Nothobranchius furzeri: one gene and its partner. The protein of the gene in region 1 purifies or fractionates together with the protein of each later gene. This does not show direct contact. Links are inferred from orthologs where the notes say so. Each region holds a gene or a part of one and is shown on either strand. Other genes may lie near its edges. The genes, in order: smarcd3b and bcl7a.

Region 1 (4,587 bases):
TTTTTACTTAAAAATGAAAAATAAACATCTAAATATTGTCATTTTTCTTATGATTATTTTTTTCCTATGTGAATAAATTGAGAAGCAAAAAAACGTGAAAAAAATATTTGTATAAATATATTGTATTTATTTAGTTTTATGTATTTATTAATGATTTAAAAACCAAAATTGTTTTTTATTTTTAATTATATTAAATAATAAATCAAATAGTTCAAATAAACAATATCTGCATTTCTCCTTATTTTAAGAACATGTTATTTGACTTTGTATTTAAATATTTTATATTAAATATTTACTATCAGAATATTTAAGTAAATAAAACAAACCTTATAATTTCTTAAATCTTAGTTATTTCTCATAAATATTTTTGTTTGACTAGATATTCATAAATAATGATAGATTACAATGATAAACTAATTTAATTTGATTGAAATTATTTTGATATTCTATTGTATATTATTATTATATAAATGAATTTCTAAAAGTTGAACACATGTAAACAGCAGAATAAATCTGGTTTAATGAGCATTTTAGATTTGCTTGTGTTTACTTTTGTTTGATTTTATGATTCAAATATTTAATTATTTGAAGAAACAGAAAGATGTCATCATGGCTGCTGACCAGATCACCGTGACGACGGCTTTAAAAAAATAATCACCCAGAATAAAAAGATCTTTTGCATCTTTCAGACGTTGATTACCCCAAAACTCCAGAAACATGGAAGAAACTCCCCTTGTGGGAACTTTTCCTTTAAAGAACGACTAACGTGGGAGAAAAATCAAGTCTGTGTTCACTTTTGCACAAATTGTGCAACATTTTGCAGACAACATAGCTACAGTGTGCCACTTCACGTGTTGGCTTATCTTTGGTTTTCTCACGGAGGATTTTCCTCCAACCGTACGTCCACAGACACGAGATGGGACATAGAGGAGATAATGACCCATAAGAATAAGAATAAGAACACCTTTATTAGTCCCTCAGTGGAGAAACTGCATAAGAACCACAGGCTGCAGTTTTAGCAAGTTTTCTGCATCAAAAAGCCATTTTCTTCTTACATTTCCCCACTAAAGGAAAGAAAATATCATCGTCCACCACAAGCTGACACACTGAGCCAGATCCCACATCTTTTAGTATAAATATTTCTGCATAAAAACAAGATGTTTCCATCAAATATGAGGGAAGAAACGAGGATGAAAGGGGAGAGGAGAAAACAAGCAGAGAGAAATATTTGGCTTAGAGCAGCCAGAGACTCATCAAGGTTAATTGGTCTGTTGAGAGGACGGATTCATCTGGCTCATCAATCACCTGCTCCGTTGTTTCCTAAAATGTGTCTGCGAGCGCGGGACTTCGCCACCCAGACCCCTTTTAATGACTGTTCCTGTCAAAGACACCACATCTCATCTGGTTTCAGAGTATTAATCAACCAAGCGTGGATTAAAACCCAAACCGAGTCAGAAAACTTCACAGATTAAAGCATAAAAGTATCACCTAGAGCCTTTACGATGGATACGAGACGGTTTTTCACCGTTTCATTAGAGAAAACCATCAGATCCTGTAAAAATCTTATTAAATAATGTAGATTATCAGTGCATATTTCAATTAAGCACAGCAAATGATTCAAACTAAACTTTAGATGAAGCTTTACAATAACTTTATGATGTTTCTATAAATTTTGAGTGTTTTTTTAAACAATTCAAGCTTGAAATGGTCATTATTTGAATCATTCCTAACATGGAATTGGAAGATTGTGCCCATTTCCCATTTCACCAGTTTAAACCAGTTCAACTTCTAACAGGAGTCTTGAAAACTGTTCAATCATCCGGTTTGCGTTGGTAATAAACAGAATAATCCCAAACTGGATGGATTTGAATCCAACTCTCATTAGAAGAACATCTTCAGCTAATTAACTTCTGGAGTCACCTTGATTCAAGATGGCCGCCACAGCCAAAACGCATCAACGCCTCAAACTCAGCTGTTTTCAGTTATTGAGTCAGGATTTGGTGTTTTGGTAGCTGAGGCTCACCACCATCACACAGAAATGCTTCACATGCCTTCTTTGACCGTAACAGCATTAAATCCATCATTTATCTGCAGCAACAACAATAATATTAAGTTTGTTGCTTCCTGAGGATCTTCTCATACTTTCTTGCCAGTTAATTCATTATTTATTCACTTAATTGGCAAATATCAGAGTTTTTTATAATCTGTATCACAAAATGTAATAAATGCGCCTGGTTAGATCCTTTATTTTATGTGGAAATAAGAATATGTTGTCTGGTTTGAGGTCAGGAGTGGTTTAAGCTGCCATAAATGTTGGAGATGAGGTGAAGTCGACCAAAACAAACCTGCCCCATGTGTCAGCTCACAGCTGCCTAACCTCTAGCCGAGCTGGTGTTACATGAAGGATCTGATTGTTCGGTGTGATCTCCAGGATCAGCCGTCTGCTCTGACTCCATCTGATGACCTCACAGGTTGAAGCCAGCATCTCGCCTTCTGGAAGGACCTCGTCATTTCCCTCCTCATGTTAGCAAAAGGAGGAGCTGCTGCTGCCTTAGCTTCTGTTTCTACAATTATTCATGTGTAGAAATCCTCCCTCCCGCTCAGAGCCATCCATTCATGCTGCTCCACTTCTCATCCTCCTCAAGCCATCTCCTGACGGATCAGAGGGGCTGGAAATATCCTTCACATGGCCAGCTTTTACCCAGCTATAACACACACACACACACACACACACACACACACACACACACACGCTGCTCCACCGACTCATCCACACCATCACACACACAGATGCATGCCAGAGCTCGGCTCCTCTACATGGGAATGACAGACAGCGCCACTCACCACTCCATGGACCAGGAACTCAAACAGTTTGCTCTTGGTGGCTTTCCTGGCTCCCCCCGCCGTCTCCTCCGTAGCCATTTGCTCAGTCCTGTCTCCCCTCTCCTTCTTTTGTCTTTCCCTCTCCCTTCACCCAGCCTCCTGTTCCCCTCCCCTGCTCCACTTTCCTTCTCTTTGTGCTCTCCTTTTCAGCACTGCTTGTCCCTGACTCTCCTTCTCCCTCTTCCCTCCCTCTCCCTTTTTTCCTCCCCCCCCCCTCTCTCTCTCTCTCCCCCTCAGCGTGTAGCAGCCCCGCCGAGCCGCTCTCTGTGTGTCTGGATCACTTTTGAGTTGTGCTGCCTTTCAGAAGCCCGGCACGTCGCTCGCTTGGAGGTGGAGTAGGGTGGTGTGTGTGTGTGTGGAGGGGGAGAAGCCATGCAGGGGTCTGGCAGGGGGGTTTCAGCCAGCCCACCCTGCCGCTCCCCCCACACAGCTGTTGCATTCCATTGGTAGATAAGGGCATGCGTTGCAGAGAGGTTTGGTCTAAAACAAGACACCCTCCACCCCCCAGACCATCAGAGGCCACGGTCAGCACACACAGAACCCTGACTCTGGGCCCATTCTCAAAAAAAGATGGAGTCTTAAAGGGGCCACGCTGCATCTCATTAAGTCGCCACATGATGGAGAGCTTCACACACTAACTTACTCAGGAGGGCTGCACTGGTAAGTTGGGAGCATGTCCCCCAGTCACCTCACTGGTTTTCACCCCTCACCCAGTGCCAGGGCAGCAAGGTGACTCTGTATGACACCAGCAATCACACTCAACCCTGCCCGGATCTCCTGCTTCGCTGATGTTATTATCTATAAAAATGCAGAAAGCTGAAGCTGTTACACACACTCGTCCTTTCAAGGGCAGAAGGACTAAAGAGAAGACAGCCGAATAATCCAGACTGTCATCCTCACACAGGTCGACACTCAGACCAGAGCTACCCCACACCCTGACCGCTCCAGCCCCTCGCTTTCCTCCAGCCGCTGGATCAGAGGGGTGAAATATTCATGAGGTTATCTGAATGACAAAAGGAGGCGAAGCGGAGCACGCGAAGGCAAATCGTCACCGTTATCATTTCCTTTTCTGTTTTTCTGCTGGTGTCAGAGAGGCAACGAAACAAAGAAGTCCAGGAAGAAAGAAATTATGACCAACATTGATCTCCAAATAAGAAATCATTTATGACGGATGTATTAAAATAAATAACAAGGTTGCTTCTATTTATAATCAAGATTAATAGGAAATTTTATTTCTGTGGAATAGATGTGATGAGAGGGTCAGAGGTCACATCATCACTTTTTAAAGTCAAATCTATTAGTTCAACCAAACCCAGACACCAGATAAATCCTAAATACGTTAACTGGTACAGATTTCCAAAAAGCCAACATGTTCCTCCAAATATTTCAGTAGTAAACGCTTGCCCTTGTCTGAAGCATTAATTAGCTCAATGGCGACACCTACTGATGATACAGGTACACTGCTGCTGACACTTCATCAGCCCCTAAACCTTTTTTAATTCATTGCTGATAAAAATCATCAACAGCCTCCTCTCAACTTGAACTGGAAAATGAGAGATGTTTTTTTCTGAGCTGGCCGATTATTTAGAGAGGCAAGGCATTGGTCTCCATTTCTGACAAGGTCAAAGGCTCGACCCGCTGAGCTTATTACTACAGACCCAGAGATTGTGTCATGTATATATTGTGTCATTTATATTCTGCCTT
Region 2 (4,439 bases), on another chromosome or scaffold:
CAATCAGTGAGCTTGTAGGCGGGTCTAAGGGAAAATGGGCTCAGAATGGGCTTCAGCTTGAAGCGGCTGCCTCCGCATGGTCCTAGTGCCTGATATGTATCACAGTATAACAGTTTTGAACAGTAAAATCTGGCGAAAGAGCGGAAAAAGGATACTTAGGGTACTTCGGACAAAAGGGGCAGGTGCTCAAGCACCCTCCGGCCCACCCCCTCTACACGTGCCTGCTGCACATAAAATAAATCAAATTAAAGAAGGTACAAAAACTCACAAAAGATAAGTCAATCAAAGAAACAACATTTCGAAAAAGAGAAAAGCTGCCATTAGAATATACCTACAGAAAAAAACAAGCAGGAATTTAAATTAGCGAAACATTTTAAAACACCACGCAAAGCTTGTGCATTTTCCTGTTTTATATTTATTTGTCCCACTCCGGTCAAATAAATTCGTTTTTTGTTTGTTTTTATTCTCCATAAAAGCTGGCACCACTAGAGGGCAACATAGTCTTTTTTTAATCAATTTGACAGTAGAACGAGCTCATGCAGCCCTTAGATTTTCTCAAGACAAGTTGAATTATTTTTTCAAACTTTGCCACAGTGAATGATAAAATGAAACTAAGATCTAAGTTTTCTGATTTATTTAATAATCTCTGACATAAATTATGTATAAACATTTTAAAGGGGAAACACTAGGATGTAAAAACAAGCCTACTTTAAACAGACAGGATGATCCAAAGTGTAAAGATTTCTCAAACATGAGATACACAACAAGAATGAAGCCAATACTGAAAAAAACATCTTATTGATGACAACATTAAAACATGGCACAAGGAGACTAGAAAACTCTGTAAAGCTTAAAAACACAAATGCAAAAAATTTTCATTAAATAACTATGACACACAAAGGAGCCCAAATGCATTTAGTACATTAAAAAAATCCAAATCTGTTGGTTTGAATGCTAGGTTATTGCGATTCCAAGAAAAATATTGAAAATACAAAACACAGAGGCACAGAGAACAAACACAAAGAGGTAGTCACCATGGACAGAATACTTTATTCCTTTTTTTATTCTCGTTGTATCTGGTAGTGTGGGGCCTAACAGGAAACTAATGAAATTCAAGATTCCCCAAAACCCCTTTAAGCTGTGAAGATGCTCTGAAGGGTGAGAGTGGAGGGTTATTTCCTTTCTCTCCTTCTCTTCCAGATATGTGAGGCAGAATACGAGGCAGCGCGCTGCCTTTGTTCTGCTGCTGTCTCAGCAGGGAAACACATCTCTGTTCAGAGTGCAGCTGCAGCCGGCCTCTTTTCTCTCTCTCTCCCCCTCCTCCCCCGGTTCCACCAGGCCGCGCTTGCGCACTGGCTCCTCTGTGCGCTCTACTGTTTGCATTGTGTCTGAACTGCCGGCGAGCTTTAAAAATATTATACCCACCGCGGCAATGTCGGGCAGGTCGGTCCGAGCTGAGACACGGAGCAGGGCGAAAGATGACATCAAGAGGGTTATGGCCGCTATTGAGAAAGTACGAAAATGGTAAGAGAAAGAGGATGAAAGACTCTGCTTCGTTATCTAACAGGAGAAAGGCTTGCTTGTTGGGGGAGGAGAGGGAAAGAACGAGACGGAAAGAGGGATGAAATAGAGAGATAAAGGGTAGTTTTTGAACGGGCTTTTCGGCAGATGTACCGGCGGCTCAGGTGCACCGGAGCCGCCTCGGCAGGCTGTAGCCTCCCCACCGGTCGCCCTCTCCGCTCGCGCGGGGACACACTACATGTAGCCGGTGATTTTCCGTTGGTTTTAACGGCAAAGGGTTGAACCCAGAAGCCATTTCGATGCAGTCACATGAAGCCATTGCTGCCTGCCACCGAGCTGCTCGCGCAGGCGGCGGTTTTCGGAGCGCAACGACCGAAGAGTCTGGACCTGGAAACAATTTGACGACGGCGCTCTGGAGTTGGAGCAGTTTTGTCCGTCTGGAGTTTTAAATTAAGCGCTTTGAGTCGCCCTTTAGGTCTGATAGAGAACTAGGCTCGGTGGGGGTTGGGAGAGGGAAGTAGCTGCTGGGCTCTGAACACGTCAGTCTGCTCGCCTTTTTACACCTAAATCACATTTTGTTCACATCAAACCTCCAGATAACACGCGTTAGTTTCCAGGATGAGAGTTTTATCAGTTTGGAGTCGCGACTCTGCCTGCTTGGTGATTAACCAAAAGTCCACACAAAGCCAGAAAGTTAGATTGTCGCATAACTTTTTTCATATTTTCACTTTTAACATGATGAAGATCAACACAAAAGACACAAGTTTATACCTTTATATTGTTTTATTTTATCAGGCTTTTTGATGTTATTTATAAACATTTTCGTTTGGTTGATCTAAAGAGTGACTTTGTTCAGTTAAACAGTTATCCACGGAAGTAATGCACATTGAATTTTATTTTTATTTTAAACATTAAATGGTAATTTTGTTGAATTGTATTTTTTTTTCGCCCATTCTTATCTGAAGCAGACTTAATTGATAGTTCATTATTAGTTAATGGATACTAACTTTGCAAATGTTAAAAATTTCACTTTTTACATTAATTTATTTTGCAATAAAGGTAAACAGAAGTTGGAACAGGGATGTCCAAACTGTCCTTTCTGCCCACAAACATTCTTTTATTAATCAATTTATGTTAAATATGATGCAGTTATTAAATGTTTTTTTCATTCTCACTCAAAATAGGCCAAATACTCAAAAAAAAAAAAAAGAACTTAATGTGAACAGCGTGCTGGAGATAAAATTCCAACATTCTAGAATTGCATATTAGGGCCACACAAAATCAGTGTGAGGGCCACAAATGCCCCCTGTGGCTCTGGACCCATTCTACTGTGCTGTGGTCTATCGTCCACCTGGTCCAAACAGTTCTTTCCTTCAGGAGTTTAGTGACTTTCTATCCTCCACTGTGAAGCTGTCCAGACTGGTGATTGTTGGTAACTTTAACATACACGTTGATGATCCCTTTGATCACTTTGCCATGAATTTCGCCAGCCTCATGGACTCCTTTAGCTTTACCCAGCATGTTTCTGGCCCCACACACACCTGGGGACACACTCTGGACCTTGTTTTTATCCTGTAGCCGGTGTTTGTCTGAGGACGTTTATATTTCTGATCACTATTGCATTTTCTTTAACTTGTCCGTTTCTGCGTCCCCACCTCCTGCTCGCCATCTGGTTAGTTCTCGTTTTCTTAATGAGAGCACAGCTAGCAATTTTTCTGCTGCTTTTGATCCACCCTGTTCTTCTGATAATGACCCAGATTCCTGAACTTCTCAGTTTAACGAGCACTGCCTCTCCATTCTGGACAATATCTGTCCTGTCAGAACCAGATCAGTTCCTGCAGTGAACCCTACTCCCTGGTTTAATGACAGCCTTCGCAGCCTAAAGCGCCAATGCAGAAAAACTGAGCGCTTGTGGAAGAAAACCCATCTCCACGTCCATCTGCTGCACCTAAAGGATCTTCTGACATCCTTTAACTCTGCAGTCAGAGACGCTAGGGTTTCCTATTTTTCCCACCTGGTGTCCCAGAGCAAAAGGGAACCCCAAGGTGCTGTTTAACACCATCAGCAGCATTGTCTGTCCTGCCGGTGTCGGTACAAGATCTGCTCGGGTGCAAAATTGGCTCGGGGTCCGTCGACTGCCGATGACGTCTAAGTAGTTGATTGGCTGAACATGAACCTTACGGAATTACGCAATCATGTTATGTTGGTCCAGGCAAATCTTTCTGTTGGAAAGGTGGACAACTTTTACAAAGAAATCCATCATTACCTCTTTGAAAATACACTCTAGAGCTGCATGTATATTAGGGCTGAACGATTAACTGCATGTGCAATTAAATTGCGATGTGACAAAAGGAGATTTTCTAATCGCAAAGGCTGCAATTTGGCAGCGAGTGGTTAACGCAATGCTAATATACATGGAAAAACCCATAGGAATGCTAATGCTAATATCGCCGATTACATTATTACAAATTATGAATTAGAAACGTGCCAAATGATTACATTTGGAGTCTAATAGAAAGTAAAACTACCATCAATCAAATAAGTACAGACAGGTATTTTAGTAAAGCCAGAAAACTTTTAACTCCAGAGTTTTGGCTAGCATCTATGAGCGTAACTATACGCATGGACAAGACGTCAAAAACTCTAAACACAAAATACTTCAATAAACAGGACACACTTCTTTCCTGCCAATACAATTTCACAGGTGTTGCTAATACCTATGATCCTTCAAGGGATGTGCTCAAAGAGGAGTTCAACATTATGAATAAAATATAGTGTCTTATTTTACAAATACCATTATAAACACAAACTTACGTCTTAAGAAACGTTATTTTAATAACGAAACTGCTAAATTCTTTCCAACAGTATAGATGTGTAGTTCATTTTGGCCGAGTGGGTTTGCCGTACTTTGACGTCAT

What was found.
Region 2: the proteins of smarcd3b (region 1) and bcl7a purify together in Homo sapiens (affinity purification with mass spectrometry; 4 studies listed by BioGRID and IntAct, counting the BioPlex papers as one, with this or other methods). This does not show direct contact. The link is inferred for Nothobranchius furzeri from reciprocal best matches to the Homo sapiens genes SMARCD3 and BCL7A.

What each region holds. Positions count from the first base shown.
Region 1 is NC_091747.1:45,542,909-45,547,495, forward strand, and holds the start of smarcd3b (SWI/SNF-related matrix-associated actin-dependent regulator of chromatin subfamily D member 3b), read right to left. Parts: upstream 3,058-4,587; 5' UTR 2,923-3,057; coding exon 2,845-2,922; intron 1-2,844. UniProt on the Homo sapiens protein: Involved in transcriptional activation and repression of select genes by chromatin remodeling (alteration of DNA-nucleosome topology).
Region 2 is NC_091746.1:40,383,769-40,388,207, forward strand, and holds the start of bcl7a (B-cell CLL/lymphoma 7 protein family member A), read left to right. Parts: upstream 1-1,336; 5' UTR 1,337-1,432; coding exon 1,433-1,524; intron 1,525-4,439.